Drosophila melanogaster: one gene and its partners. The protein of the gene in region 2 interacts with the protein of the main gene of each other region in a pairwise test. Each region holds a gene or a part of one and is shown on either strand. Other genes may lie near its edges.

What was found.
Region 1: the proteins of CG8508 (region 2) and Jhbp7 interact in a two-hybrid assay, tested with the Drosophila melanogaster proteins (one large-scale study listed by BioGRID).
Region 3: the proteins of CG8508 (region 2) and Svil interact in a two-hybrid assay, tested with the Drosophila melanogaster proteins (one large-scale study listed by BioGRID).
Region 4: the proteins of CG8508 (region 2) and CG15576 interact in a two-hybrid assay, tested with the Drosophila melanogaster proteins (one large-scale study listed by BioGRID).

Annotation. Positions count from the first base shown.
Region 1 is NT_033777.3:25,234,139-25,242,346, forward strand, and holds Jhbp7 (juvenile hormone binding protein 7), read left to right. Parts: upstream 1-3,475; 5' UTR 3,476-3,574; coding exon 3,575-3,641; intron 3,642-3,698; coding exon 3,699-3,936; intron 3,937-4,061; coding exon 4,062-4,307; intron 4,308-4,362; coding exon 4,363-4,564; 3' UTR 4,565-4,757; downstream 4,758-8,208. Other genes in the region: Sil1 nucleotide exchange factor, read right to left, coding at 1-1,060, 1,124-1,259; to (takeout), read left to right, coding at 6,052-6,112, 6,228-6,468, 6,536-6,675, 6,730-7,037; CG11854 (uncharacterized protein), read left to right, coding at 7,920-7,989, 8,066-8,208.
Region 2 is NT_033777.3:13,182,186-13,189,640, forward strand, and holds CG8508 (uncharacterized protein), read right to left. Parts: upstream 4,312-7,455; 5' UTR 4,284-4,311; coding exon 3,480-4,283; 3' UTR 3,341-3,479; downstream 1-3,340. Other genes in the region: CG14380 (uncharacterized protein), read left to right, coding at 6,405-6,455, 6,522-6,701, 6,766-7,041.
Region 3 is NT_037436.4:2,383,213-2,392,458, forward strand, and holds the start of Svil (supervillin), read left to right. Parts: upstream 1-4,779; 5' UTR 4,780-5,554; coding exon 5,555-5,569; intron 5,570-6,052; exon of another isoform or gene 6,053-6,123; coding exon of another isoform or gene 6,124-6,372; exon of another isoform or gene 6,373-6,508; coding exon of another isoform or gene 6,509-6,628; intron 6,629-6,688; coding exon of another isoform or gene 6,689-6,973; exon of another isoform or gene 6,974-7,022; intron 7,023-7,056; exon of another isoform or gene 7,057-7,061; coding exon of another isoform or gene 7,062-7,211; intron 7,212-7,270; coding exon of another isoform or gene 7,271-7,723; exon of another isoform or gene 7,724-7,777; intron 7,778-9,246. Other genes in the region: Mzt1 (mitotic spindle organizing protein 1), read left to right, coding at 6,124-6,372; CG32299 (uncharacterized protein), read right to left, coding at 6,509-6,628, 6,689-6,973; CG32298 (uncharacterized protein), read right to left, coding at 7,062-7,211, 7,271-7,723.
Region 4 is NC_004354.4:4,249,572-4,256,980, forward strand, and holds CG15576 (uncharacterized protein), read right to left. Parts: upstream 3,220-7,409; 5' UTR 3,068-3,219; coding exon 2,696-3,067; 3' UTR 2,299-2,695; downstream 1-2,298.

The DNA of each region.
Region 1 (8,208 bases), about 12 Mb from region 2:
GCATACCGATTGCGAACGGTTAATAGTGCATGCCTGAGACCGGAACTTTGCGACCACGTGCTGGTGCACATATCTTCGGTGGTCTCCAATGCGGTGGCAAACTGTTCCACCACCTCCGGTTGCTCTAGGAGGAGCAGGAACTCCTTGGTTAGCACAGTGTCCACCGCCGCGCAGTAGCCCGGCGTTTTCAGCCACGACTCGAAGTCCAAGAGCACATATTGCGCCATTGTGGATGAGGCTTCGGGATCATCTTTGCTGACATCCAGCACTGACCGCTTCTCCAGCACTAGGTCGCTTATGAGAGTCACTACCTTCGCCTTGCTCCGCAGCTCCACATCCGGACTCTGGAGCACCTTGATCAGAGCCTGTGTACCCGAGGTGGAAAGCACTCGCTGCTGGGCTAGCGGAAATTTCCGCAACAAGGCTCCAAAGGCGTGCAATGCAGCGGAGATCTCACCGACATTTCCGGAACTGGTCAGAATCTGAGCCAGATGAGACCCGAAATTCTTTTCGAACACCTTGATCTGGGCCTTGGGATTGTTGCTCGCCAGCGAGCCCAACACACGCATGGCCGACACTCTCAGGGATGTACTGGTATCGTTCACAACAATGGGCAGTAGTACATCATCCAATCCCCCATTATCAATGAACATCAAGGCATTGTCTATCTGATGGAGCAAATACTCCAGATTTTCCAGGCAGTCCAGCTTGGAGCGCATCTCTGACTCTAGCGGCGTTCTGCTGAAGTTCCGAAACTGATCGATTAACTGGACGATCAGTTCTCCGTCGGTGCGAAAGTTCTTCTGGAACTCTTTGTACGCTTTGCGTAGCTCGGCATAGCTCTTCTTCTGCTCCTTGACCCGCCGTATAGACTCCTCGATTATGTCCGGTTTATAGTCCAGAGCCAGGGGTTCGTTGTCATCGTGAGATTCCCGAGCATTCTGATCATCCGGTTGACTCTGCAGCGACGTGCCACGTTCGCTTTCGTCTAAGAGTTTGGCTTCCTTGAGCCCCGTTTGTAGGTTGATGCGCACGTGCAGGCCCCTTGGAATAGCTTGACCTGGAAATATAGAGTGCTCACTTAGTACACGTCATCCGAGAGTTAGCCTGGCTAGCCATTAACCTTCCGCAATCGTCTGCCATTCGTCGGTGGCCACGAAATCGTTGGTTTTGTTATCCGTTTCCGTTGCCGCTGCCACTTGTAAGCATCCCAGGATCAGGACACTGCCCAGAAGGATGACTACCTGCTTGCCACTCATACTGCTTCAGCTTGTCTTGCCTCCAGAATGTATTCAGTCTTTATTTCACCTGGTTTTAAGTAAGTTTCGTGAGAGTTTTTAAATCAGATTTCAGACTTCTGATGTGGATGTGGTTAATAGTATGACCGTAGGGAGCTGCATTGATTATACCGCATGTGGCGATATGTTCCGTGGAGAGCCAGTCGATTCGGAACCAGTCAAAGGCGGTTACAATTCAATTTCAAATTTGAAAATATTTGTAATCAATAAATTCGTTATAAACAATAGAATATATTAAAGTATTGAAAAAGTGTAAACTATATGTATGCTTTATAATCTTTCTTTATATTTATTAGATTGTGCTGTTGGACATTCCAAGCCAAATCTTATATAAATAAGTAATACAAAAATTAAGTAAAAATTTTTATGGTTAATTTTTGCTCTTAGTCCGGAATAGTTGGAAACTTTAAATGATTTCAAACATTATTTCGCTAACAAATTAATTTTTATCCCTAACGAACACAAATATTAATATTTTTAAACCTTAGTTTGTTGTGAAAAACAAGCATTGCTAGAAATTTCCAGACTTGAAATTAATATTTAAGAACCAGAAAAAGTTAATGCCATTCAGAACGATTAAACCACATCAAACCAGAATGCCACCAAAAATTCCCAAACTCATCGTGAATTCATTAAAAATTGAAAAGTAACCGCCATTCATAAGCTTTCCACTTCGTTACAACGTAGCTAAACTAGTTATAAACTAAACGTATTTACTGAGTTTACAAAGAAAAACGAAATCATGTTTACGCGCAGATGAATCAACCAACTCAAAATTGAAATGCCAAATTATTTGCAGGCAAGCCCGACGTAATAAAATAAAAGCGTGTTTGCATATATTACCATATTTCGCCCCCGAAAATCCGTTGTAATCTCGATGTCTACGACAGCGTCTAGGAATTGGCTGCGCAAACACATCAAAGTGGACAAAAGTGAAATATTTGGACTCACCTGGCGCCAATTGGATGGGTAAATAAACAGAATGCCGGTTTCATGCCAATCACACACCAAATATACATATACATATGTATATATGTAGTATATGCTAATTGCTGATGACGAACGCCAGGAGCCTTTAACTAGAATTTGCCAAATTAAATTCACTCGGCCCGTTCCGAACGTCGCCTGTCCAATAGTTTTGAAAGTGAAGCCACCTCGCCGAGCAACTTTTATCCGTCGATCCATCCATTATCGATTATCGATGCCGTTGGAACCTGTTTGATGTCGTCCAAAATGCCCGACTATGTCTAATTGGTTTATGTCGGAATTGAGTTGTGTTGGCCACAAAAAGATTTATCTTCGTACATATGTCCAAAACGGAAATTTCATAGTTGGGAGCCTTGGGATGCATTCTTCCTTCTGGTCGGAATACAATTTCATAACTTAAGTGATTTTTATCGTGGATCCTTAACCATGACCTATTCATTATCATTCCCTTTCAGATTGCCTGGCCATTTAGCACACTTAGGAATTCCCCCAGAGGTAGGTTCCCAATTCCAAGTGCTGATCTCAAAGCAAATATGGGATGAATAATATCATAAGCCAATAAGTACGAATTGATATTTGCACTTTATTAAAAGTGTGAACAAAGCGCGGATTCCATTTCACGGAGTTTGAATCTATAAAAAGTACACAAGATGCCGAAATATAGTGCAAATTATATATGTATAATTAAATTATATATATATATAATGCATTGCAGGATAAGTGGAAATATATTGGTTAATTGCTTGAAAACTGACTGGATTGAGCATTAAAATTTTGAGTTTCGCTGCCTTTTGTGCGCGTTGCCATTGTTATTGTTTATTGTTATTTGTTGCTGCATGCTAATAATATTAATTAATAATAATGCTGCTGCCAATTCTGGTTAGGGGTAGCTGCGATAAAGATAAAGACTGCGATGTCTATGATGATGAGGAGAATCCATAACACGAAGCGAAAGAGATATACACATACGAATAAATAAAAAAAAAATATAAATAAAAATAGCCAGCAATCAGACAGACAACAACAACAGCAGCAGCAGCAACAACAAGAAAAACAAGGGCCAAGACGCGACAAGTCAGGAATGAATAAACTATGAAGTGTACTGGTTGTTGTTGGCCACATTTGTTGCCGCTCCATCGTTCTGGCCGATCAGAAATTTTATAAATGCCGCCGTCTGTCCAGAGCCGATTTACAGTTTGCCATTGAACCTGGTCGGGCATTCGCCAAATCGTCGAGCGGTTGAATTTCGGGGCGCTTGAATTTCGTACGTAACTAGATCCATATCCAGAATGATGCTGCTCCAGCTGGGCTGCGTGGCCCTCTTCTGCTGCTTGGTTAGCGGTGCCTCGAATTTCCGTGAGTCCTTTGGCCAACAATCCCAGTGCTTCGCTAATCGCCAGCTTATCCTTGCAGCTCCCGAACTGCCGCGCTGCCACATGGGCGACACCAGCTGCATCATCAACGTGTCGCACATGCTGATCAGACAGCACGCGAGGACCGGCTATCCGTCCGCTGGATTCCCCCAGGTGGAGCCCTTCCTGATCAAGCGCTTCGACATCTCCGACGGACGCACTGGCTCCCTGAATCTAAAGCTCAACTTCAGGGACGTGAATGTGGAGGGCCTGTCCAGTGTGAAGTTCGACAGAGCCGTGTAAGTAGCAAGTGAAATGAAAAGTGATTTCCTTCTTAAGCAAAAGTGAAGAAGTTCTCATGTTTATTAACAGAAGAAGATATATTAAGTTGATTGCACTTATCCATCATAATCGTATTTTTCAGTGGCTTTGGCGCTGATCCTGCAACCAGCAAGTTTGAGATGTACGGATCCTTTCCCAAGATCGTGCTGAAGGGCAAGTACGTGGCGGATGGACGCATCCTGATCCTGCCGATTCGTGGCGATGGCGATGCCGAGATCGTGTTGCACAATCCCAAGTTTTCGGTGAAATTCAAGCCGGGCACACAGCAGCGCAATGGACGCACCTACCTGAGCGTGGATAAGCTCAAGGTTCTGGTGGAGCCACAAAAGTAGGTGCAGTTCGGATTTTAGCTGAGATATACTAACATATTTGTGTTCCCACAGGATGAACATTCGGCTGGAGAACCTCTTTAATGGCGACCAGGCATTGGGCACCAATCTGAATCAGTTCCTCAACGACAACTGGACGGAGGTGTGGAACGAGCTGCATCCCTCCATTCATGTGGCCATCGCCGAGATCATGAAGAGCGTTCTCTCGCAGCTCTTCAAGCGCTTCGCCTACGAGGATTTATTCCTCGAGAACTGAGCACTAGTCGTCCTAGTCGCCATCAGGCGCCCTAGGACTTTAGGCTAAGTGTACGAGTATTTCCTCACCTATCCAAGCTATTCTCACTCACATGGGGCGTTGCATTCCGGCATTCCGGCCATTGACACATCATCATCGTATCATCGTATCTGCTAAGCTAAGCTTTAACTTGTAGAATAAACAAAAACATTCGAAAAAAAACTGGTTCTGCTTCTGCGGGGGGCCATTGTTAGCTAAAACGTGGATCTCACTATTTCCGCACAAGTGTCGCATACACTTTTTGTTTCATTTTTGGCCAGCAATCAGCAATCAACAGGCAGCTCACGTGATGGAACGATTGATTCGAAATTTGCATGACAAAGGCATTATTGCTAAGGTGACTATACTTGTGGATAAAAGCGTAGTTATACATACGCTTAAAGTATTAAAACATCCAACAAATTGAAATAAACACCTTAATTATTATGAGCAAATACTTTGTGTCTTAAAAAAGACGAAGATGCATGCTCCTACTACTACTCCTACATCCTGTGCAACTAATTTAGCCCAAAGTGCACTAAAATTAGTATATGATATGATGATATGATATATGACTAAGATCTGCTTGTCTTAGAATCAAGAACTAACTAAATGGCAGTGCTATTAATCTGAACACAACTGTGCTGTCACTCATTGCGAACTCATTTCACTGTCCAAGTTCAAGAGTAGCCAACGGTATAGCTGCCATCCCGATCCCAGGGAATCGGACACCCAGTTGGCCTTGGGTCAGTGAAAATCTTCCACGAGCGAGCAATCAACTGCAGCGATTCCGAGCGAAACAAGTTGCTTTTGTTCTCCACGGGGGCTGGACTTTAAAGCGGGACACTTGGTCATTAAGTTAACCCAAAGTCTAGGACCTGTTCCGAGCTACTACTCCACCGCTACTCCTCCACTGCCCTTCACTTCGATTCGCAAGAACTAAAGCCAACTAAAGAACTGGTGGTCACGATGACTGCGTTGTTTTCGCATCTCAATTCGGCTATATTTGGAACTGGCCCTTTTGTGAGTTGCACACTTGCCAGTTAACTTTGTTAAGGGAGAACTTAATACCATGACTTTTAATTGGACATAATCTGTCTGATACTTAAATTCATTGAGCGGATTTTCGATGTAACTGATTGATGAAGATTAAGGTGAATAAGAAGATTTGCTACATGATCTACTTGCTGTCTAAAGTGCACCCAAATGAGGTGATAAACTAAGGCTTGTATTGAAATTAGAACAACGTTTTCTTACCTAATACCATCAGATGATTCAGTTGCTATTCGTTATTAGTTGATGATTCTGAAACGAGCTCTGGAATTGACAGACAGACGGTTACGGCACAGATAAGAGCTATATCAAAGGTTGCCATTAGACGTTATTTGAGTTGCACTTAGTGGACCACTATAAATACTAGGCGAAAATCCCGTTCGTATTCAGTAACTTAAAGTTATAGACGTGTTAGCATGTTCGCAATCGCATTCGCAGTGGTTTTGTGCCTTTTGGTCTCGGTGGATGCCAAATTCCGTAAGAGAAAGTCCTTTAAAACAAGACCTTGCCAATGAAGTAATAATCTGGGAAACCTAGATAGACACCTACCTCTACTTTTCGGTTCCAAAATAATCCTTTGTGTTCCTCACAGCCGAAGATCCAAAACCTTGTAAGTATGGTGATGGCGAATGTATCATGAAGCTGTGCAACACCCTGTTCAGCGAAAACTCGGCGGAGGGGGATCCTGGTCTGAACCTGATGCAGCTGGATCCGTTGAAGGTGGATCGGATGGTTATTAGCCAGGGTGAGAGCTCCAGTCCCGTGGGCATAACTCTAACCTTCACCGACAATCTGTTGTATGGGATCAAGGACCAAAGGATCGTCAAAGTAAAGTGGGTGCAGGAACAACACTTTGTTTGGATGAGAAGGATGTGATTCAACTTGCCTTGATCTTTGCAGGGGTTTCGGAAGGGATCTCACCGCCAAGCACGAAGTGAAAATTGTCACGAAAACCTTCTCACTCGTTGGACCCTATAACATCCAGGGCAAGGTACTCATTCTACCGATCAGCGGAACTGGACAGAGTAACATGACAATGGGTAAGCTATGCCAATTGATTTTTCAGATTTCGAGGAACTAAAAATCCTGTCCAGTTAACGTCAGGGCAATCGTCAGCTTCTCGGGCAAACCGCTGGTGAAGAATGGGGAGACCTACCTGGACGTTACCGATCTGAAAATAACGATGAAGCCGGAGTCCAGCCACTACCATTTCAGTAATCTGTTCAATGGGGACAAGGCGCTGGGTGACAACATGAATGTCTTCCTCAACGAAAACTCGGAGGCCATTTACAAGGAGACGGCCAAAGCAATCGACCGATCCTTTGGCAAACTTTACCTGGGCGTCGTCAAAGGTGTGTTCTCCAAACTGCCGTATGCCAAGTTTTTTGCGGATGAATCGTGAGTTAGCTCTTCAAAGTGGGCAGAGTCCACATAAAGATACTAGATCATGTTGTTTGCGTACTGACAGATCTAAGTTTTGAGGCTAGCAATCATCATTAGGTTTAATGGAGTTCGTGTTTCGCGTTTGAAAGTGAGAACACAAGTAACTACTATTAAGCCATCTCAGCTAAATAATCTGTAAGTGTTGTGTGGCAATAAAAGTTACATATATGTAGTTAGCACATTGTAAATTATTTATAAGTGATACAAAGAATTCTGTAAAATACCATAAAAACATTTAAAACTATGACCCATTATTAATTAAGTTACAGTGAGTGGAACCCTATAGATCAGGTTGATCCAAAAGATGAAGGACCGCCTGAAAGTATGTGTTATTCGCGCGCGGAGATTCCGAAAGGCAGGGAATATCTGTAACTGGAAAAGGCAGTTACATTAAAAAAAAGCTTGATAAACAATCTTTGTTGACTTAGCCATTAATTAGACGTTGAAACGGGAATTAATGTGCGTTTTGGGGAAGGCCGATCCAATTTGCATATATCGAGCAAATTGCACCCAAAACGCGATTAGGAGCGATTGAATGGGACGGGGTCGATGTCTGGCTTGGGAGTTGGGAACTTGGGAGTTCATTAAAGGGAATCGTAAAATGAATTCGCCGGCTATAACCAGCCACTTTGCCATACAGCCAGCCTGCCGGTTTCGGTTTATAATCCATTTAACTGACTCAACTGCCAAACGGTCTAAAGTCAAATTCTGTGCGGCTGAAACGCAAAAGCGGTTTACGGCAACAAAAACATGATACATTTCAATTGACGAAAGTGACTATATAAGTGTTAACGCCCGCGGCTAATGGATCAGTACTCGATTACGTTCGCCGCCAGCAATTATGGAGCTAACTCTCGCCCTCGTCCTGCTGTTCGGATGTGCGTCCACCTACGGACACGCCTCCGATTTCCGTGAGTTGCACACACCCCCTTTCCGTAATATATAATGTTTATGTATATTTCACAATCGCCACGCCCCAATTTACAGCCTCGGGCATCGAGAGGTGCGCCATAATGGACGAGCAGTGCCTGGAGGACAGGGTGAACTTCGTGCTCAGGAACTACGCCAAAAGCGGTATCAAGGAGCTGGGCTTGATCCCCCTCGATCCGCTGCACGTCAAGAAGTTCAAA
Region 2 (7,455 bases):
GTAGGATGCGTCTCTTTCTAACCCAACTAATAACTGTCCTTCAGATAATATTAATGTCATCTGATAAAAGCTAATGCTTGCAACGCTCGACCAAGCAAAATTCCACTTAAGTTGTCAACACTCTGCTGCCTACACAACCGCACACATATACTCACCCCTCCGCACTCACACTGCGACACTCTTTTGGACACGCACGCCCGCCTTGGCCCATCCATCTACACCTTAAATACCCAAATCAAAAAATAAATGGTAAACACTGGACGATCCCAGCCCCCGAAACCGCATGGCCCCATGGAAACCAGGGCGAGACTCCATCGAAAAATGCTGATGATATGATATTTAGAATATTTTTTTCCCAGTCGGACGGGCAGGCAGGCAGGCAGGGATGTGTTCCTTGGGCTTGGGGTCTCAAAATTCCTGCAGAGCATGGCAAATATTTATTTAATGCTCCATAGTGGACAGCCGATAGCTAGACTTGCAAGCCGAGGGGTTGGAAATACTACTTGTTTGCTTTCCGTGGTGGGGGTGGGGCCTCCGGTCTTTGAGACAGCCCCATTGCTTCGGTCTTGGCAACATTGTTGCTGCTGCTATTGCTGCTTAGTTAATTTCTAGTCATCAACTGCAGAGAGGCTTTTGTTTGGCAAACAGACAATAGAGTATCACCGAGAAAAAAAACCAAGGATAACGAGGTCATTATTTTACAATAAAAGAATCTGCTTAAGGAACTGCCTAATAGCATTTCAGAATTAGACCATGATTAACGTACGATTTAAAATTATATTGTATCTATGTATATATCCTTAAGTTTAACAGTTTAAAATGTGTCTGATTTTTTTTCCATGTGTGCTGACTAAGCTCTGATCCTTGGAAGAGCTCCAAAAGTGCCAGCAAACAACAAAAGGGGCGTTCCGGGGGTGTGACCAGTCTATTGTGAAAGTGTGTGTCTAGTTTTAAGTGCTTCCAGCGTGTATAAATCACATTGTTGAACATTTTTACCGATTGCTGAGGCAGAGGTGCAGGTAATGTCTGCGCATAAGAGTATGCAATAAAATATTTTGTTGCCGCCAGACGTTTTAAGTGGATTTTGCAGACCACAAAATGGCTTAATAGGCGAGCCCAAACTTTGGGTTTCATTAGCATTAACGGGCGGTTGGCTGCTCGGCCGGCTTGTCAACACGCCCACATCTGAGAATCGGTGAGCCCACGACCAGAAACAATATTTATGTGCAGGTTAACACGTGAGTGCTAGGCTGCGTGTGTGTTTTTGGGTCTGTTTGCTCACAAACCTGATTACAAAACTCATAAAGTCGCCATGAAATTCAAACAATGCGTTACGTGCATCGAATGCTGAGAGCCACACACACAAAGGACAAGATGAGAAGGTCTCACACTCACACAATCACGTACAAAGGACCCGTGCATAAAGAACATTTTGGTTTTGACCCGACCAGTTGAAAGCGGATGTGTGAGAGCCTCTGTTTATTACATTTTGATTATTGCAATCTCGTTTCTCGCAACCCAAGCCCAAAACACACATCAAAGGATCTCAAACTGATTTACAGTTGCCGAAAGTTGGCGAGAAAACAAATGGAAACATCGCTGAAAAAATCAAATCAGCAACTGGCGCCCAACTTTCGGCAACTTTAAAAGCATTTTAACTGCCGGCCTACATGGAATATAAATATAAATATTTATGCGAGTGGCCCGCAAAGCGATTTGTCAAAAGCGGTTCTTACTTGTGGATTATGAATACTTTGCTTGAATTTAGCTGACAGCAGAAAATTATTACACAATGATTAATATTTATTTGCCCGGGCCACTGAGCAGCAATTCCCGGCGGAATTTCTGGCCCAGAGTTGAGTTGAGTTGAGTCCAAGAAAGAGGCCACAACAAGTGACAATGTGCTGAATATAAACATTTTCTCCGACCAGCTACTCCTTGCGAGCAGCTCAAAATGGTATTTAATTCAGATTTATGCCTTGCACGGCATTGTGACAGGACGAAACCAGCACAAACACAAACACAGGGCAGCGTGTCCTGCGAAAATTATGATATTTGCCGGCCTCCAAGGCGCTCAGTCTGTTTGCCTTTGCCTGATAAGCTATCGAACAATAAAATAGTCTCGGCCTTGATTGGGGTTCGAAGTTTGCGGCCAAGGCAAATAAGGATATGCGCAAATAAAATAGCAATAAATCAAAACGATTGACGATCTCATGATGCGGCTGGCCTCAGCGATTAAGGCCTCAGTACCGAGATTTCGTCCCATATAAATAAATCGACTTGGGGTCGAAAAGTGATTTTGATTGTTATTTGTTTGCCGGCATCGGCATCGGCATCGGCATCTTAGTTAGCTCGCCTGTCGACTCGCGACTTGACAAGCAATTTATGGCGATATATTATATAGAGGCATCCATAATTTATGCCCAACTGCAGGAGAATCGCTGCAGCGGAAGTGCGAATCGTGAATCGGGAGCCAGGAATTCGAAGGGAAGCTGCCACTGTCAATAAGGAAACTTCATTATAAATTACCCAACTGACAGTTGCAGGCAGACGCCGGAGAATAATAATAATGGCAGTCCCGGCGAAAGTTAAAAGCCAAAGAAAACCCTCCTCCCCCCTTTGTCCATGAGGGCTATAAGCTCTTACCCAGCCCGGAGATTGTTTCAATCTGCTTAAGCGACCAAGTCGATGTCGGAATCGAAGGACCTAGCTTTTTGGCCCCCAGGCAATCAGGCATGCAACCAGATCTCCGCCAGATCCCAGCTCGACCCCTTCTGCCGTCCGATTGTTGTGCTTAAAATTGCTGAATAATTGTGCGGAAGTTGGTAGTTGTTGCATTCTGCGATGAAAATGGAAAAAAATGAACATAAAGTGAGGGTGGTCCATGAATCACATAAAAAACAAATGTCGCGTCGTTAGGCTAAAAGCTTTATGCAAATTTTCCATTGCTTCTTATCATATTCTCTTTGCCGTGCTGCAAGCTGAATGGAAATTGTATTGAACAGGGGATGAGATTGCATTGCGGGCTGGTCGATATGTATATATATATATATAAGTCCGATATCGGGGGGTTAATTGGGTGGACGGTCATTGTTATGCAGCTTAGGTCAAGTGTCTGCAATTAGGTGCAATTGTTTGAGAGGAAGTGCCATTTAGTTAAGCATTTGAACATGTAGGCTACTTACCAACCCCTTTTAAGAGCATTATTATTACTGCAACAGCAATTCGAACGCTTATTGAATCGGTTAGATTGGGTCTACTAAATTAAATCACATTACTTACGTTTAGGAAATGGGAATGCTTACACGAAAAAAAGTTGTAAATACTGTAGCATTATTTTAGCTTGTACATAATTTCATAAAATATTTATAATTTAAGACAAAGATTTAGTTAACGAGAGGCACCTAACTTGGAAAGCTAGTTACAAATTTTGTTGTTCTAAATGATTTCCTTGATGGCGTTAAAAAGCAAGATGATCTTTATACCTCTAAATCCTCTAGGACGTCCTGAAGCTCGGTAGCTACCCCCAGATCGTCGTCGTGATCTGATTTTCCCGAGTCCTCAGCCGATTTATCCACATTGCCACCCACCAATCGATCAGTATCAATACCAAACTTGAGTTCAAAGGGAAAACTCAGCTTGGGCACCTCGAAAGTGTGCATGTGGTAGTCGTAGTTGGTCTGCTCTTCTGGCGGAGCCGGGCAAGCGTGTTTAGCTTGAGGATTTCTATCTAAACCAGTCTGATGCCCCTCTTGTTCGGGATGCATATAGATGGTGTGTCCCGCTCCCGTCGCATTGTAGGCGTCATTTTCGGTGATACGCTTTGTGGAAGTATCAGGAGTTATTTCGGTATCGTCAATGAGTATGTTTATATCAATGGGCACGAGCATGTAGGTTTCTCCAGTACTTTCATCGGTTTGAATTTGGCTTAACTGCTCGTAGTCCTCGTCTGAAATGCAATCCAAATTTATTACATGGTCAGATTTCCAGCGAGCAATTTCCTTGGCGTCTGCGCGTTGAAACTTATCCGATTCCGAAGATCCAGTAGCTACTCCATTTGAGGTAATCTTAAATTTGTATAATAGCGGTTCTTTGAGCTGGACAAAAGCCTCTGGCTTACCAGCCTCCACATAAACTTGCACTTTATCCAGTGCATTGGCTATGAAATCATCGTTTGATAGCTCATTCCGCTCCTGCTGGCTTTCGTCCTCTATTTCCTGTGCCAGCAACTGCTGAAGCTTGATCATTTGCTCCTTGGTCAGATTGAGATCCTTTAGACTCATCGTTGCCCTGTACGGATTTAGGGATAATATATATTAGTAATGTACACAAAAAAAATATGATGATATTCGGAGTGATAATAATAAGATTGCGATAATGACTAGAAAATAAAGATCACTAGATATGGAAGCTGTGTATAAAAGTTTAGTTATCATAATTTCCTTTTGATTTTATAAAGATACTGTATGTCTTGGTTGCCCAAAATTACCAAAAACCCTATTGTATCTCATTAAGTATATAATATTTAAGAATTTTTGGCGAACATACATGTCAAACTAGTTTGCCAGTGCACTGGTTTCAAGATATGAATTGCTCTTCTGGGCTTCTATTCTATTGTTTGGAGAACGTACTTAAATTCAATTATTGTTTAAACACATCGAGAGACTTACCATCGTAATCTGAGACAAACAGTTGCTGATTGCCCTGAGGGCAGGGGTACAATTAAACAGCCTTGTCCGCACATTACCGCTCACGTTTTATGGCTGCCGTTTAAAAATATTGAAAAAAGCAGGGCAGGCACGAAATTGAAATGCCTGCCAGCGGGCGCAGCTTTATTGGCACCCGTCGACCAGGAGCCGGGGCATTATCCTGCAGATGGCTGCGGTCACTGGACATTAGGCGCTGGAGGACAACCGGTGTCCGTCGACAAGGCCAGGATCATGGCAGAACGGATACGGGCATTGTACATGAGATGGCGTCATTAAATACACATTACCCTGCCGGCGCAGGACGAACTCAGGAGCAGGAGCAGGAGTAGGCGACGGTGGAGTGGAGGCAGTCCGGCGATAAAGGCACAACAACCGCCGAGCAACAGTCGGCCAGCAGGAGAATGGCTATTAAAAAGCAGCCCGGGCCGAAGATAGACATGGTCGGCTACAGTGGCAGACATAACAAATTACACCATTTCGACAGGCGGTTCACAACAGGAAGGCAGTGCTGTTGAAATAGACTTTCCTTAGCTATTAGCTAAGAATATCAAGGATATTATGTATAGAGATTAGAAGCCAAATATATTTGTAAGACATTTACCATATCCATAAAACTGAATTTTAACAAAATAATTATAATATTCTCACGTTTCTTTATTTGCTCTAAAAATTCTGATTATGTCTTTAACAATTATTGATCAATTTTAATAAGACAATCGATCCTTGCATTCAGCTAGATAACCAAAGCTTTCTTCATTTTATATATACTCGAGATTCCCTTTGAAATAGCTATTTATTCTTATCTGCAATCGCCAGCACTGGATTGACACTATGGCCGGTGGTTCGATGGTTGGTGTTCAGTTTCAATTGTGCTGGCAAACGTGACTCCAAATTGGCTGCCGGCGAATAATTCATACGAAACACTTTCGCACCGTGCGCCTTGCCATTAGCATCGTACCACTGCCCCCACCGTCGGATGACCACCCACCTCCCACCACCCACTGGCACCCAAAGCGCCCACTTCGAACCACAGGGTAGCCCATGCCATGCCCCACGTAACCCCACGATTGCATTTACAGCAAATTATTTATGGCTGCGACAGACACGGAACAGGAAGCGAGTATGCGCTGCCAACTTCACGTCCATCAATATTTTATGAAACCCTGTCTGCAGAACGCTCCGCGCTGCTCTCAGCCGCCGGAATGGATGGGTTGGAGTCCTCGGAACAGGACGAGGGTATCTGCTTACATGGCTGCCTTGTGCCTTCTGCCGGCTGCCTGGCTGTCGATATCCGGTAGATGAGTATCTAAATTGCCTTTACTGTTGATGAATTAGCGCCGGCTGCCTGCCGCTCCCATTTGTGTGGAATGGGTGGCATTGCAAGTGCCTGCGTGGCGCAGATAAGCTTCCACGATGGGTGCAAATTTCAATTTGTTCTCGATGATTTTGCGCTCATCAAATAGGCCGGCAATCTAGGAAGACGGGAACACGACCTTGTTCGAAAGGATATGAAGTGAGAACAGAGCTACAACAGCAGGGGATTGGCAATTCACCAAACGGATGCACCTAAAATTACTCCATCATTCCTGTTGGAATAATACACATTAAAAATGAGTAGTAGAAAATGACTTATCAATCCTTGAGTTAAACATCAGTAACTGTTGCAGTATTTTTAAATTACCAGTTACGTCCATTATGTTACTCTCCCGCAAGGAAATCGTATCGTTATTGCTATTCCTCACGGCGGTTAGTTGCACCTGACTGCCATCTAATATCTGACCTTGTGACTCACCCCAGTCATCTGCTCCGCAGATCATTTCCGTGCTGAACGCGTCGGTGTTTGGGAACGTCCTGCCCCTCCACGTCAGTTATGAGCAGCTGGGCCATCAAGTGGTCTGCGTGGGAACTGCCTACATTTGCCTGATTTACGCCATGAGCACCTGGTTATACCACTCGAATTATTCCAGGACCCGTCTGCACATGCGATTGGTGGTGGGTGGTCGGCCAAATGGAGGTGAAGTCTAATTTCGAACATTTAAATATCCCATTTTTGCAGCTGGTGGCCATGATTTTGATTATGATACTGTTTAACTGCGCTTCTACCTACTACTTCCTAACCGGCGTTTCATTTTCAAAGCTAGGAGATTCCATGGAACTAATTTTCCTCTTTAGCAGCTTTGCAATGGCCTCCAAATCGGTCAGTTTGAGCATGTCGGCCATCAGCGTGGTGATCCTGATCGTGATCATGGTGTTACTCATTGTGACAATCATTCAGTCCCATAGAAGACACAAACGGGACAGAATGCGTTACCTCGAGTCGCAAAAGCAATAAACTCATCCTCATTCCCGTGGGAGTGCACATTAAGTTTGGTTTTTATGCAACGCCAAACATTTCATGTCGCTGCAATGTGGCGCCGTAGCTGCAATAATATAAATATTGCACTCGTACCTCGTTTGGCACAGACAGACACGAACTGCTCACCTCCTTTATTTTTTCACTCATGACACACCGATTCTGTGTGTGTGCTTTCTTCGCAGGTGATATGAAAAACATATACGAGTGTAAGAGAATCTCTGTTATTGTTTATCCAAGTCGCAGTGGGCATGCCCTGCCTTGAGAATAATTATACAATATATTTTTGTAATTCTATGTAATAAATGTTAGTTAATAGGGTTGAAGTTTGAAATTTTCTTTCTTTCCAAGATTTTTACTCATTCTGGGTCTTAATAATTTGGCATTACATAC
Region 3 (9,246 bases), on a different chromosome or scaffold from region 2:
GATTAGGGTCCGTCATAGGAATCAACATAAAATAGGCAAACAAATTTCTCGAACTGCGTTCAGCCCGAAACGTGCCTCTCCATGGCATTCTTTTCACCATTATACACTTATACGTATACTTTTTATTTTTCCACAATTTCAACTTTGTCTAGGCAAACAAGAAATCGTGGCACGTGAGCATTTTACAAATGAACCGAAATCGTTAAGAAAAACCAAAAACCAGAAATAACAACATCATAGGTGCGCACCTACAAAAACGCCAGATTTCATAAAAATACATGAATAGAGCCCATAAAAAAAATTAAAATAAAAATCAAAACCAGCAGCTGGATAGGTAAATCTTGTTTTTTTTTTTTTTTTTTTTTTTTGTTTCGTTGATATTCAAACGTACTTTGCTGTCTCTTCATATCGATGCGTACGTTCTACGAGACATGCGTAAGGTTTAAGGGACATGACTTTGGGTAGGGCAGATTCCTAAGTAGTAGGTGAATGTGGAATTCACAGCTTAATTTCTAGATTTCATCAACGATTTAGTTTTACTTGTTAAAGAAATCACTCGTTTCTAAATTTCTTGTTGCAATTCATGAGACTATGTAGAGTACTCGTATTTTTCCTCAACTATAAACCATCATAACTTGAGATCTGGACGTGCTGTCCATCCGGAGCGGGAGTCGGTTCTCATTTAGATTGCATCTGGCATGACGAACGGACTCAAAGTCTGTGCTATATTTAGGCGAATTGCGCATTGTCTTCTAGTTTCGACGTCGAGGTGCTGATATAAAACGCCCGATTAAATTTATGCACACACCATGGAATTGCGATGGCAACACTGGGCTGCGCTTTTCCCCAGTGATTTATGCCGCCCGGGCGAGGCAGCTCGATTTGGTGGGTGCGGGTGCAGTTGCTTAAGCTCCAAATACCCCGGCACTGCAGCACCCACCCAATCCTCGAGAATTTCTTAATGGTCAGATGGTTGGTTGGCTGGCTGGGCGTCTCGTTACGTGACCAGTTGGAAAAAATGCAACAAAATGTTTTCTTTTTTAACTGCGAAAGCGAAAATCGAAAGTGCCAAGTGGCAGATTGTCGGATTGCCGGTCGGCTCCTTGGATTGAAGCCATCTACTCCTCCTTCTTTTGATCGCCAGTGGCTGGTCAATTGCCGCATTGCATCATCTTTCTCATGGCGTATCTCGAATGGTCGTCTGGCGGGCTGTAAATACCAAATATAATTGTTTAACTGTCCATAAAATTGAAGAAGCATAAAAGGAGACCCTTTTCTGCGTCTGCCAACCAGCGTCCATTGAACTTGGCGCAGAGTGAGTGGGTCTGATGGGCTCCAAAAACGCCTCAAAGACATATCTTTGAGCTGCCTCAGACGAAACAAAATTTCACACCAATGTGGCAGAAAGTATCTGCTGAATTGGTGGATGCCCGCGACTACCTGACAGTGTCCCATCCATCAATCGGTGGAAAAAGATTGCGCCACAGGTCAGCAGGTGTTTGAGTTGTTTGGGGGTGGAACTCATAGGCGTAGAGCCAGATGATCTGCGGTTTGTTTTCCTCGAGAACTACCAGTTGAGACATCAGAAAGGTGTGGGAAAATGAAGGCGAATTGCATCAAGGAAGCTGCATGGTTAGATCAGGGATAATTGGCGTGGGAAATTAAGGTATTACTATTATAACATATATATTGAATGGGCATATAGGAAACGATCCTTACACTACTTATATTCGAGTATATTATCTTAAGGGTATTACCATCCAATTTATGTATACTACTGATTACTATTGTATAATTACCCAAGTATCTAGAGCAAAATTGTTAGTGAGCGGGTTTCCTAATCATTTCGCTTAAACACCAGTCAAATACGGCACGAAACCGAAACTCTCTATTATATCGGCAGTTCCCTTTCGCCACATTTCGCCACATTCCTGACCATTAACTGCATTTGGTTGGCCACAAAATCTGTCGCCATAAACCGAATGAACGTAAGTCTCGATGGAGCAAACTTGATTTATGAGCGATTGCAGTTGCAGATACGTATATATTTCGCTATCGCCGCACTCTCACTCTCGGCTGGTCCATTTGGAAAATGGCATGTCAACGGAAATTGCTTAATCATTTCCACGCATATCATGTACACCTCGTATACATATGACTAATGCCATCTGTCTGTGCTCTTCCTTTCCGCGCAGGTAAGTTTTACTGCTATCGTTTTTGGGCCATAGGCAGTTAAAGGAAATCATTGCGTAAGTCAATAAAAAACGGAGTTGATTTGTTTACTTAGGACTTCCCCCCCGGGGGAGGAGTTGCGTAATCCCCGGTTCCTGCGAGGAAGTGGCTCGTAAAAAGGGAGCCATTAGCATGTGCAGTCTGAAAAGCGAGGCGCATAATGGATTTTCCAATCAATGCAGCCCATAATTATGCTCACCAATGAAGTTATTGGCTCATTTGGTCAGGCGGCTAGCGAAATAAGTGGAAAATGAACTGAACGGAGATACACTCCACTCCTTGATTATCGTGGCCATCATACGAACATATCTCCTTCACCACCACTGCTACCTGACCCCTTGTCGCGCCTAACGATCTTTAACCTGACCAACAACGATCCCATCCCGGCCATCTCGGCCCAGACAGTCTGCCAGTCTTTTGTTGTTTATTGATCGTCGTGTTGCACAGCATTCAAACGTGCGTCGAGTGAATTTGTGTCTTTGTATCTTTGCATCGCAGTACCTTTGTATCTGGCGAATGCATTTCGTTGTATCTCAAGTGTATGGGATTGTTTGTACCAATGTTTGTCCGGCTCATTTGCAAAATCTGCTGGGTAATCAGACACCGGCTAGGGATGTCAATTAGCTTATGTTGCTGCTGCTGCGGCTGCTGTTTTGCCAAGTGCGTGACCATTGAACCTGCATTTCCCATTTCCCATTTCCCTGCTGCTTTAAGTGAAAGTGAAAATGCCAGTCGTTCGTTGAACTTGCTGGGAACTTGGCATAAGCAAAGCTCTGCCGACCCTCAGAACTAATTGAAGATTTCATAACTCAGCATTTATGGCCCTTTGCAATCTCAGTGTCAGACTCTAGGAGTCTAAAGCAGACAATTTATGATACAAATTAAATGCATGAAAATTATGATGAATGCGAGGCGAAATTTATGCTGATGACATACCCAACAAAAGAGCGCCAATCCGCCCAGACTCCTACGGCTTCACAAGCTCCTTCTACCTCGCCTGCTCCTGCTCCTGCTCCTCCTCGTCCGCTTCCTGGAGGGCAGCTCCAATCAAGAGCCAGACGATCCACAGACAACAAATCGCCGAGTCAAGGAGTTTGCGGCCCAAGTCGTTTCTGTGTTCATGGATACACGCAAAAAACGATGTGTTACATAGTAAAATCTTTGGAAATATGTATATTATTATGTAGCTCGTTCTTAATAACTAAGATATTTGAATTTACTACACTTATTCGTGCCACTTTCTCTAAGTGTAAGTCTGGATCTGGTCCTAAGTTCCATTGCCTCCCGCCCCTTCCTTTATGGTTTTTTGAGCAGCTGCATGAGGGGCGGGGAGTACAACGAGGTGGACTCCTTGTGGCTGTGGCTGCCTGCCTCTAGCCGAAAGTTGTTGCGTATTTAAAATGGAAATTGCAAGTTTTTCGCTGAGCGTTCCCAATGTCTTTTCCCTGTCTCTCTTGCTCGCTCGTCGACGCTTTTGTTTCACTTTCGTTTGCTGATTGCAGGTTTTTTGTCTTAGCTCATTTTGATTTTATTTCTCCCGTCTTATTCGGTGCATTTATCACGGTGCCACACATTTGTGCCACAAGATGCCAGAGAATCGGGCGGGCATGGCCAATGAAATTGGCCGCAAGTTTCCTTTTCATTTTCATTTTTTTTGCAAATTGAATGCTGCTTTTCAAGCCGATTTCAAGGGTGAACGATTATTGGCCAAGACACCACACTCCTTTCGCCATGATATTTGAGTGAAATTTCTTCATGCAGATCCATCTGCAGTTTTGTCATCTCTCGCTGGCAGGTTATGAAATATTTCGCAACTTTTGCTGCGAAAAATTTCCTGTTTTTCTTCATTTCACTTACGCACTTCTCTCCTTTGGCGGAGTTCGGTGGGTTTCTCGGCCGATTGGTATTAATTATTATTATGGTCTCGTTTTTGTTTCGCCTTACGGATTTCTGCAGCTTTTATTTTTAATGCCCAGCGAACCTGTTGCAATGCGTTCCACAAGCTGAGATATGCGCCTGGGTGTGGAGAGATGAATAGTTATGAGGTTTTAGGTTTGGCTAGCCAATCTTGGTTTTCCAAAGGGTGCCTGACACTATATATTTAGTTTTATTTACTATCATAAAAGTACGAATGATCCACTTCTATCCCATGACCAACTCACGTATGTTCGCCCCATGCTATTCATCCCTTAGTCTTTTCACCCATTAAAACCATTTAGCATTCATTAAGCCCAATTTCTGCCCCATCCATGGTGCTCGGAATAATCAACAAATTAACTAAATTCCTAGTGGGCGCCTCCATCCCCAGAATAATCCAAATTCCGAAGTTGTGACATCAAGAAATGTCGAAGCGATTTCAAGTGCAGCCCCGGGGAATCTTGGGAACATATTCGAACATTCCCAATCGTCCGCAACCTGTTTGATCCGTTGGTTATCAAAGATATTTCCAAACATGTTCGAAGCGAACCTCATGATGAGGTTGCATGGAATCCATAAGATACAATCCACAAGCTGCTTTGCAGCTACAGCCCAGCGGAATTTCAATTCAGTTCGCGCTCAACTCACAGACACGATGGTCATTCAAACGCGTTAACGAATAATAATTTAAAATAATATTCAAATGATAAATACACTAAAATATGCACTAAACCACGCACTAAACCTAAATCCACGAACTGTACATATTTGTGTAAATAAATAAAGTATAAACAAACAGCGAAGAGAAACCTCGAAATACCAATAGACCGCTCAAGTTCCCATACATTGAGCTGGCCAATCGTGTTTGAAATTATTTGTTTGATCGATTTTGTGCGGTGTGAACACCTTGTAAAGGCATTTGCAAACCTATTGCCATAGCAAGCAAAGTGTGTTAAGCTGGGAAACACCCTCTGAAAAGTTTATGTACTACCCCCTTCGATCGGTCGAATAATAACTACCACAAGACAAGCATTAAGTTTGTGTTTACGTGCTGCTGACTAATTGCGTTTATATAGCCCGACTATATAAAACTGTACAATAAGACACGGCCAACTGTTTTAGTTTGAACGCCTCAGTTAAAGCTGCAAATTGCTTCGCTACCAAGTGAAGTTCTACATTTTCGCAGCGAAAACGTTTTTCAATTGATTTTCATTAAGTGAAAAAATCCCGAGATTGTCTTCTTTTCGGTTTCCAATTGATCGCAATTGCACCAGACCCATAAAACATATATACAAAGTGAGGCTGCATTCCAAGTAGAGCAAGACAGTAACCACTTCATCATCACAACATCAGATGCTGCATAATTAGCATTCGTTGCGTGGAGCGTCGAAAAAAAAAGCGGAAAATGTATCTCATACAGGTGAGGCCAAGCGATACAATGGATCCCCCTCTCACGATTAAGTGTTTGCTCTTACTTATCACATGCTGGCGGCACTGCACTTGCCGACTGAAAAAGATCTTCATTTAAGCGTTTTTTAATTGTCCGCCAGCTGAGATTTTCAGCATTTACAATTCTCCCCTCCGTTTGAAATGACTGTGAGAGGCACGCATCTCTGGCGTATATAATTTGTTTAATTTGTAGCTAATTTATCTTTCCACTTGGCAGCGGGCAGATCGGATGTCGAGCAAATGGGGGGGGGTTCACTGGAGCAGGTGCCTCATTACTGAACTTTGAACTTGAAACGGTGTTACGATTTACAGCTGGTAATGGATTACGGTTAGGCATCGGGGTTCGGGTTAGCAGAACAAATGTGCAGGCCTGAGATTATGAAGGGAACTCAAATATTTTGACATAACCATTAATCATTTGTAAATGATATACATTCAATCGATTGCTTTTGAGTTATCTGTCAGCATTGCCCTAAATTATTTAGAGATTTATTCCGAGTTTATATCAAAATTTGTGGAATAAGTATGTCAGAACAACCGACACAACATAAATCCGACGATCGCTTCACTATCCTGCAAACCTTATCGGATGTAGTGGACTCTGGTCTCAGCAAGGAAGCCCTTAAAATCTGCATCGAACTGGTGGACAATGGTGTCTGTGGTGGAGCACTAGCACATGTAATTCGAACCATTAGAGAGGAGATTCAAGATGATGAAGATAAGGAAAGTGATGATTCCGGAGAATCGGCTGCATCAACAGACTCAACTTTGTAGGAAATGAATATAAAATATATTTTTGTGTTTATATTTTGTGTTTGTTAAATTAAAAGTTCAACTTTCCGATGGTCTGTTTCCGAAATTTGTAAGACGCTGGTTCTTGGACATCCAATTGCATGATTTTTGAAGGCTTTCAAGAAGACTTCGCCACTCTATTTGCATTCATCAAACGCAAGCGACTGGCGTTTCTGAAAACGGTATATGTGCCGGCCATGATAATGAAAAGTTGCACCACTTTGGCTTGATAGTAGGTCTAAGATGATAATGTGTTTAGATAAAAGCTTATAGCAAACCGAAGCAACAAACGACTCACCTGTCTTATATAGATGGGCAATGGAATGTGCGATCGATGAACATGGTAATCCATTCCTCTGAACAGCCAATAGCCCGGCCACGCCCCCAAACTGGCGAAAAGAAATGGTGCTGCAGTACTGTAGGCCTTTTCAAAGGATTGCGAATGCACCAGTAAACGTATCTCCTCGCCAAGATTATGCATCCGAGGTGGGTGGGCTATTGCCTTGGCTGGTTCCTCCTCCTTTCGCTTAAGCCTCGTCGAGAACTTCTCCTTCAGATTGCCGTAATAATTTTGGATGCCCATCTTGGAAAGGTTTAATTTTCGACCGAAAGTTGTGTATTGTGTGTGTGTGTAAAGTTTGGACAGAAACATATATCAAGGCTTACCTGAACTAAGAGGAGTCTCCGATGTCAGCTGTTTCTTCCTGATTATTGTGCACTGTATGCATTTCTATTGGTATGCCGGCAGGTCGACCCATTGATATCGTGAACAGACCAGTGGCTAAGATAGCCAACTGCATTAGCTTGGCCTGTTGATAGGTCTGAAATGAATAGTTTTCAATAGGTTAGACTGCACGGGGTAGACTGCTATATTTCAAACCCTTTGAATGTAAAATGCGATTCTCTCCGTTTTTCGTGCGGACTGCCAGTTGTAGCCGCGCCAAATCCAAAACGCTGGCCAGGACAAAAAGCTGACCTCCAGATAGGGCAATATATCAATTATCTTCTTCGATAGACCCTGAGGTGCGTTGCGATCTACGAAGTCAACAAACTCTAGCTCGTAGTTTAAAGCTGGAGCCGTTTGTTCCCTAAACTTTTGCAACTTGACATCTGGGGTTGGAATATCACCAGAGGTTAGGGGTTCAGTGGTATCAGGTGCAGTTCGATCAGAGTCCGGCTTCCCAGTTTCCTGGCTCGAAGCTTCTGGTATTTGGTTTGCAGTGGTTTGGGTTTCTTGTGCATTCTCTACATTCTTAGGACTGTATACCACCGCTGCAATGGGGGAAGTAAAGTTATGAAACAGCTCTGAGATCTTCTGGAGCAGCGAATCCATGCTGAAAAGCTGAACTTTTTGACTATTAATTTTCAATTTTCCCAAAGGTGCCAAAGCAAACAAGAATAGCTTGCTGGGTTTTTGGTTTCGTTTGAAAAGTTCAAAGACTCGAGGCAATTGCATAAATTATCGCCTTAACTCGTTCGTTCATGCGGGCTTACATTTGTTTTAAACTAATTTACCCTATTCATTTTTCTATTTTCTGTCTTTTTATTTTGGGGGCCCACAGAAGCCGCAGAACAAGCTTCATTATTGCCGGACTGCGGGTGCCCAAGATTGGGGTTCTATAGTACGAGTACGAGTATAGTCTATATGGTGTATGGTGTACAGTGTGGTGCCGAAGTGGGTCAGTTGGTGCAGCGGTTCATGCAATTATAAAGCGCATATCTACAGGTTGCATACCAGATACCTCCACTTCCACTTCCAGCTCGACTTCGACTTGGGTCCATTGTGTGGCAGTGGCCAACTGCTAACGGCTCGGACTACGGCAGGTGTCTCATCAGTTCATTGTGTGTTTTTAGTCTTTCCACTGGGTCTTGTGTTTTTCGGTTGAAAATGTGGCTTACCTTCGGCGACAGCATGGAGTTGTATGGCTTTTGCCGGGACAAAGACGCACCTAATGAAGTGAAAATCTTTGGTTCTATTGTGATAGTTCTTTGATTAGCGGACTTCGTTTGGAATATTCTTAAGCCACTCCTGATGGTTCATCGATCATGTGGAAAGTTGACATCTAACACTCTAACAGTTCTCTGCATCTGCGGATGAATTGAGAAGACTTAGAATTGATCCACTTGCCCACTTATTTACCTGAGAGTATCAGCATTACCATTTTAAAGCCATTATCTCTCCCCGTTTCCAGCATCTTCAGACCAAACTACTCAAGCGTTGAGCCTGAATGGGGCTTTCATTCAAGACGCTTTGAAACCACAAATTGCATTTCTACGACTTCACACAGATCGATTCCGAAACTCTCCGTCTCTCAGTATTCTATCCACATTTCTCTGAAACTGCGGCCTACACACAAAAATGCCTCTACCCTTTTAACTGTTCAAAGTCAAGCTCAATTAACCCAATTTCAATTTGGAAAATGATTTGCAAAAGCCAAATAAATCGTTTTGAAAGTCTTCGGCCTGTTGCCAAAACACTCGAGCATAAATCAGCACCACAACGAAATTTCTTTGGCCAAAACGCCAACTCGCTTTTGGGCCCACCTGCAATTAGTCTGCTCAGGTGGGTGTATACTCTTATACTCTCTTTCACTCCCCGAATCGTGTGAAATTGCAACTTTGACTGCGGTCAATGTTAATAAAATTTTCGATAGAAACCATTAACTGGTAACTTTACTGGTAAATTGTATAATCAATTGACAGCTGTAAATGTCTGGGTTTCCGTGAAAGGTCTGCTCGTGTGACAGGTGACGACACTTCAGGTGTCAAGTGCGCAAAATTCGGTGGAGATCGGTTGCCAAAACAGTTTTGATTACATTAACGGACGTTGCTTAATTTATGAGTTTGAAATGGTTA
Region 4 (7,409 bases), on a different chromosome or scaffold from region 2:
AGAGCCACACTTATTAATCCCCCGAGTGCAGGCGTGCATAAGTATCGGGCAAATGGATTAGAAACTTTTATGTGCACCGCGGTGAAATTGAGGGCCTGCACCGCGAAAAAGGCTAGGGAATCCCCAGAGGTGCTTGCACTCAATAGCACATGGCAATCAGCCACAATTTGTGAAGCTTTGCACAACTACTTATTAAAATGACAAACGTAAATGCTTCCAGAAACTTAATAATTGCTATAATGAGCAAATAATGGCATATATATAGCAGTTGATTCAGTTGAAATACACGTTGTGTATTAACCGTTTTTTTGGGTGTAGGTGAGCGAGTTTGTTGGCTAACTTCTCGGACCAAAGGATTCCGCACCCTCGAATCTGATGCTATTTAATTAAGTTGAACGGACGAAAGGGCAGGGGTGGTGAGTGCTAGCATATGTACGAATAGAATGGGGTGCACCACCACCCACTGTCCTTCAACAACCCCGCCCACTACACACCTCCCCACCCACGTGCAGCCTTCCACTTTGCCACATTTGTGTGACAGTTAATGAACTCCCGTCACTCTTTCGCTTTTGTTTTCGCTAATCAAAGACACAAGCGGCATGTGAGCGGCATACGCAATGAGGCGATGGAGTGCAGTCAATTAATTGATGGATGATGTGCATAATGAAAAGCGAATGGGGAATTGTCAAAGGATCCTTTGGACGGTTGGGCAAGTCCCTCTCTTTGGGCATTCTACAACATCAGGGCTGCAACAAAACTTAAACATCAGAATTCTTTTTCCACATTCTTTCATCAAGCCTATACAAAACTTCACTGGCGTACATGTATGGGTTTTCTTTTTTTTTTACCTGTCCACTATTCAATGGCAGAAGCTCATCAAGGAACTCCGCCCATCGAATGCCGGTCCATTCAGGTCGATGGTTGCACATCCGGGTGTATTGATTGCTTTGACAAATCTGAGGCTCGTGTAATTTCATTACAAAACCCCCGAATCGGCTTCAGCATGGGATTACCACAAAAGCATTTTTCGAGTCGACTCGAAGTCTATATATTCCCCAAAGTGAGGAGAGAGATGGGCCAATGTCTGGTCTGTTTTGGTCTGGTCTGGTCGGGTTTTCCAGATGCTTTTCCTCACCGCCCTCGTTGTGTATGAAATTAAATTCAATTGTGTGACAAGTTAATCCTATTTCTCATCTCCCAACTTTTATTTAAGCTTCATTCTTTATGCATTACATGCGAACTTCGTGGGTGAGTGAGTGACACCGGTCTTGGTTTCCAAGGCAGTCGGCGGTCCATCAATCAGTCAATCAGCCTGCCAGCCAGCCAGTCCGTCAGTGAGTCAGTCACTCCTTTGGCAGACGTCATAGACTGTCAGAAATGTTTGATATGTATGTATGCTGCCCGCTTTCTGTCTTGGAGCCCGTTTCAAAAAGTGAAAGCGAAGGGTTGGCTGTCTGGATGTCTGAATGTCTGGGTGTCCCAAGGGTCGGGGCTTTTGAGTGCCTCCCTGACTCCGACGATCCAGCAACACTTCATTAAACGCATAAAGCAATAAAATGTTCTCTCGATAAGCAAAACAAAGACCATCCCAAATGAAACCCCATAGAAAAAGGCTACGAACTTCGTCTGACAGCTTGACGTCGCCTGCTAATGGCAGGGGGAAAAAAAAAACCAGAATAAATAGAATAAAGGACGGCATCTATCTACCCGAATTGATACTCTCGAGTCCCTGCCAGTTGGTCTCAGTGATTGGGAAGTCCTAAAGCTGCTAGAAGGCTATAATGAAAGTCAAACACCCACTAAAGTTCCTATGGCTGCGCTCGAAATTTTCTTTGATTATGCAAATGTCACAGCTGAGAGGGCAAAATCTGTTTCAATTGGCATCCTGATTTGTCTACAATCTATGTATGTACGAATTTCAGAATAAATGCATTAAAATAGAAGCTTTCATTGAGAAGTTCATTTTAGGATGAAGTAAGTAAAATGAAGTGCTTATATTGGGGTCAAATTCATCTAGAATTGAAATGGCATGCTAGTCATTTCGGGGAATAGTTAACTAGTGCAGTTCAATCAACTTTCCGTGCGCTTTTCCCGTATGTTTGTCACGCCCCCATTAACCCCATGGAAAAAGTGACATGACAGACAGGAATCAGACTTGAGCTGGGGCTCAATCCATCACATCAGTGCGGAAGAGACCAGTCATCATCATCATCGTTGTCGTCAGTGCGCTTGTTCCCCTCTTGGCCACCATCGTTGCCCACTGACCACCATTGTCATCCCCGTATCCGAATATAATATAGAGTAGCGGAATTGTATCTTTATTACGATAATTGCTCATTGAACAGGAAATTATTATATGCGTCCGGGGCTCGGCATGTCCTCCAATTCCAAAGCCCATCAATTTTCTTGGGGAGATGGAAAAATCATCAACCCAGAACTCAACGGGGATATAATAATAGAACAACATGCGTCCGAACAGGGTCCGTTCTTCTCCAAGGGTTACTGGTTCAGGTGGCAATGAGAATGGAAGTGGTAGTGGATTGTGTTTGGGGTTTCGGGCCTTTTAGCTGATGATGACATTTTTCTTCTTTTTTGCGGACGACGCTCAGAAATGAAAAAAAGGACATCACACACGCACAGGAAGGGGAGAGGCAAAAGACAGTGATGGCAAGTGTGGTAAGAGAAGGTACAGATCCTAGGGGTTTGGTGGCAGTCCCCGCAATGGTGGATGATAGTCACCAGCGTAATTACCATAGCCACCGCCATCACAATCGCCCTCGCCAATCAAACCGCTTGGCATCGGAGGCTCCCTCCAGTTCCACACGCCGATACTATCGCCGCCTCCCATATTTAATTCCGTCCTCCGTCGATGTAGCATTACACGCATATTGATCATGAAACGATTCACATCCCGCTGATGATCGATGCGCAATTGAATCGGTGGAATTTGGGTGATTCGACGTTCATCAGTCGATGGCTGTATATTGCGCTCTTCTTCGCCCGGCACGCGATCCATATTCAAGCGAATGCGAAAACTCTGACCTGGATTTGGCCTAAATGGATTCATTTTGAATATTTTAAAGCTGTTCTTACTGAAATTTCGATCGAAACGTTCTGCTGCTGTTGGGGATTTCGAATAACTAATATTTTTCTGACACGGTAGCACACAATACCGATTGATAGAAATCTCAATGAGACCTGAGCATCTGAAATATGTGACAAGACAAATAAAGCTGAATTGTGGAATGGTATTATGTGAAATATTGTACAAGAGATAAGAGATAACCAAAAAATTTGGATAACTAATTCCGACATAATCCGACTGGGGGACTTCCGGTGAAATATCTATGCGATCTATGTGGCCCACAAGTACACATACTTGTGTACGCTCGATGCATATTTAATTAAACTTTCACCTACTCAAAGACGACAAAGAATCTTTGGCGAGGGCGACAGGAGACAAGTCCAGAACACTTTGGTCTCTCGCTTCAATCATTTTCATGGGGTGGATTGGATGCGCTAGTGGATGTCCTAGCTCGAGGACCTGTTACTCTCATCCTGGTTCCTGAAGTACTTAAAAGCAACACGACAAGCTTTAATTAAATCAGTTTTAATTAATGCAAAATGCGAAATTTCAAAAGACGTCGTTGAGCAAGCGCTTGGCTCAAATTGCCGACAACATGGAAAACAGAACACAGAGGCGGTGAGCTCCAAAGGACCCCAAAAAGGATCCGCATCCCCTCGAACGCAACGTTTTGTTGTCGCATAATTACAACTCAATTGTAATCCAATTTTGGCCAGGCATATAAATCCGATTCAGGCACAAAGTCACGCCCCCGGCCTGGTGTCTGTGTCAACTTTTTCGGTGTCAAATAAATAAACTTTTGACAGTCGGCAGACAGGCCAGCGGGGTTTTCCGAGCTCCAACTCCGCCCGAAAAAGCCCATCCGCACACCTTTCGCTTTTTGTGGCCACCACCGGAAATGGAAATTTGTTAACAATGGTGGGTGGATTGGGTTTGGTGGCATGTATCTGGGATGCCAAAATCAATGCCCCAACAGATGGATTAGATACAGACATCTGACCACGAGCTCATCCGTTCAACCCCGTCGAAGGCAGAACTCTTGATAACTGCAAATTAGTTGCACATGTTCCACATGGGCCACAACTCAAAACAAGACGTGTTTGCACTAATTTGGCCAAAATCAACAGCTGTGTGTACATGTGCTGCCATCTTCTGCTCGCTGTGTGAGTGAAGAAAACTCATCATAACTTTCTTATCAGAAACTTACTTCTTGCTCTTCAGATACCCAACAGAAGCGTTCCCAAAAAAATAAAATAAAATAAAAGAACGGGGGAACTAGCGAGATTCTGGGGCGAAAAACGAGAAGGAAAACAGAAAAATTGCCTAGAAAACTTGTTATAATTACACACTGGCACACACACACTGGCACACGTGCTGGATGGCCGTATGTGTATGAAAGTCGTGCACTTAAAGAAATAAAAGCGACTTCGTTATTAATGAAAATTGTCTATGTTTAAATATCATAAGATTTCATCAATGATTTAACTATGTTTGAATCGATTTTTTTGCGATTTTACAACCTCTATTTCATACCATTATTTTAACATGGTTCTGTCATCTATTTTCTCCATTTGTATGACTAACTTAGTGACTGCAGGGCAAGGAATTTGGAAGGGGAGACGTGGAGAGAGGGGGAGTACGAGGGCATGCATGAACAGGCAACATATGTTGGACTTTGGAGCAAACTTTTGCGAGTTTTCGGGGCGCCCTTCCACTATGCCCCTTGTGGCAGCTCCATATATTGGCACCTCCTCATCTCCTCATCGCAGGATTTCGCCGAGTGGAACTTGTGTGTTTTGTGGTTGAGTAGACGCACAGTTTAGGCCCAGAATGCAACAGCTGCGAGAATCCCCACTCTGGAGGACGAGAATGTCGTGGCCAACTCATGGTTGGAGTTTTGCCTGTTGCCGAGAGACCCCATGACAACTTCCTCACTAATCTGCCCGATGAGTCACGATAAGATAGATAATTGCATGGGGTAAGTCCTATTAGGGTTGCTAATTTTGGGGCTTTGGGGGAGCTAACTTTGGATAGAATATTGTGAAAGTTATAGAGGAGGTAAAACAAAAAAATTTGTTTATATTACTTTATTTACTTTATTTCAATGATAATATGTTGCATATTCATTCACGAACTGGCATCAACAAATTGCAATAAAAAGCAAGGGTTTACCAGTGTCTGAAAGGATCCCCGTTAACAATCGACTACCTGATTCCAATACCATTGTTTACCCCTCTCAGAGTGCCACAAAAGCCCCATAATATCTTTAAAAAATAATAATGACAACAGTTTCAATGGAGGTCTGGAAACAATCAGAGCAGCGGCCACATGATGCCAACTTTTCAGGGACTCTTCGCAGAAATAAAAACTCGCATCGAAAGCCGAGGGAATTGTTAACGAAGGCTTAAAAAGAATGGGGTAAATCCTACGAAAAAAAAAAAAACAAACTTTTGGGGCAACTTTTTTTGGTCAAACAAAAAAAAACAAAAGAACAGTAGCGAAAAAAAATCTATGTGGACAGCGCCAAACTGTCGGAAAATGCCTAAAAATGGTCCCGGCCAATGGGAAAAAAATAAATATGCCAATGAAATGGGCTGTTTTCCCAGCCCTGGGAAATGTGTTCACTGGATGGGGGTGTGCAAAACTGATGGCCCGTCTGGGCCAAAAGCAAAACCAGAGCCAAAGAGAAAGCCATGTGCTCGCAAATGCGGGACACGTACTTGCGCTATAATTATTTCGTACGTGAGCACGTGAGCCCGCCGAAAGACAATGAGTCGCCGAATCCGGAGAAATGGAAAACGGAGCCTGGAGTTCGAAGACCGGAGTACGGAGAGCGTCTGCTGCGTCTGCTGCGTCTACCGCCGGAAGAAGACGAGTCGGGCTAAGGTTAGCATAAGAGAGATTAAAGTGTGGACTTCCTTCGCATAAAATAAATATGGTGATAAACAAAAAGGATTTCAGCAAACTAACAAAATAAATAATTTGATCATTGAGATATTAAAGCTACAATAGACTTTTTTAGTTAACAAAGTCATTTTTTGCAACTGTGCATCAAAAGAACCAGACAAAGGAAACACGTGGCTACAGTTTTGGTACCCCAATCCCTAATTTTCAGACAGCCCCACAGCGTGACACAACATATCAAAAAATGTGTTTTTGGCGAAACTCCCTTCAAATAATATCCGCCTCAGGACATCAGAGCAAAGATCTTTAGCTTTCCAGCTGTCTTTAAGTATTGCCTACGTGATGATTTTTCTTTTAGGAAAAATTTATTGTCATTACCTGGAAAGTTGGCCGGAAAGTCTTGGCGTCATATTGGCATATTTATCATCGTTTATATTAATGGCTCTTTATTATAAGCTTTCGTATCGATTCGGAATCCAATTTAACCAGCTGTATATACTAAATATAAATTCAGAATTTTAACCAATGCTCTTTAAAATTAGTAGAATATCTTATTTCCTGCTTTGGATAGACCTCATCCAGAGCCTGCACTTTGGAACCATATATCTAATTAAAGGACTGTCCCGTTGGTTCCCAACTGGTCCACATCTCATCCACGTCGTCATTAGCATCGTCATGATCGGAATAAATGAAAGCACCAGCCACTACGACCGCATGCAGCTTAATTCTCATAAAAGTCACATAAAGTAAATAAGTTTGATTATAAGCCACAGAAAGGGGAACACAGCAGAGTAAAAAAATGGGTGCAAAGGAAGTACACAGCGAGCAAAACATATATATAATTACAAATACAGAAATTTAATTGCTAAACGGTAATTCGAAGGACAAATTAAAATACTTCTTGCTTCATTTGGAGTTGAATGATAGGATTTAATTTATGTTTCTTTTGCAATAAACATTATTTGGAACTTCAAAACATGTAATCCATAGATTTGTTCAGTGCCAATGAAGTGTAGAAGTGCCGGACAGCAGCTTCACTGGCAGGTCCTGGACCAAAACAGATCCTGGCTTTGGCAGTTGTCACCGCCGCTGGAGTAATTAACATTCACAATGAAAATGAAAACGAGCAACTGCAGCGGTCTGGATGGGCGGGTGCGAATGGATGGGCGTCGTTTGTCTCTGTGGGCGGGTCTTTGAGAGCGGTAAAAGTTTTTAATAACCCGCAACAACAAACACGATTGCGACCACGAGGGACACAACCAGGCAGCAAGGGCGAGGAAAAGGCGGGGAAAAGGCGAGGAAAAGCGGGTAACGGCGGCACAGAGCAACCGCCAACAGCCACAATAATGACACACAAAACTTTGACAATGTAGTCGTGCGTGCAACGCGCCCCTTCGGAACCCCCCACCCCCCACCAACC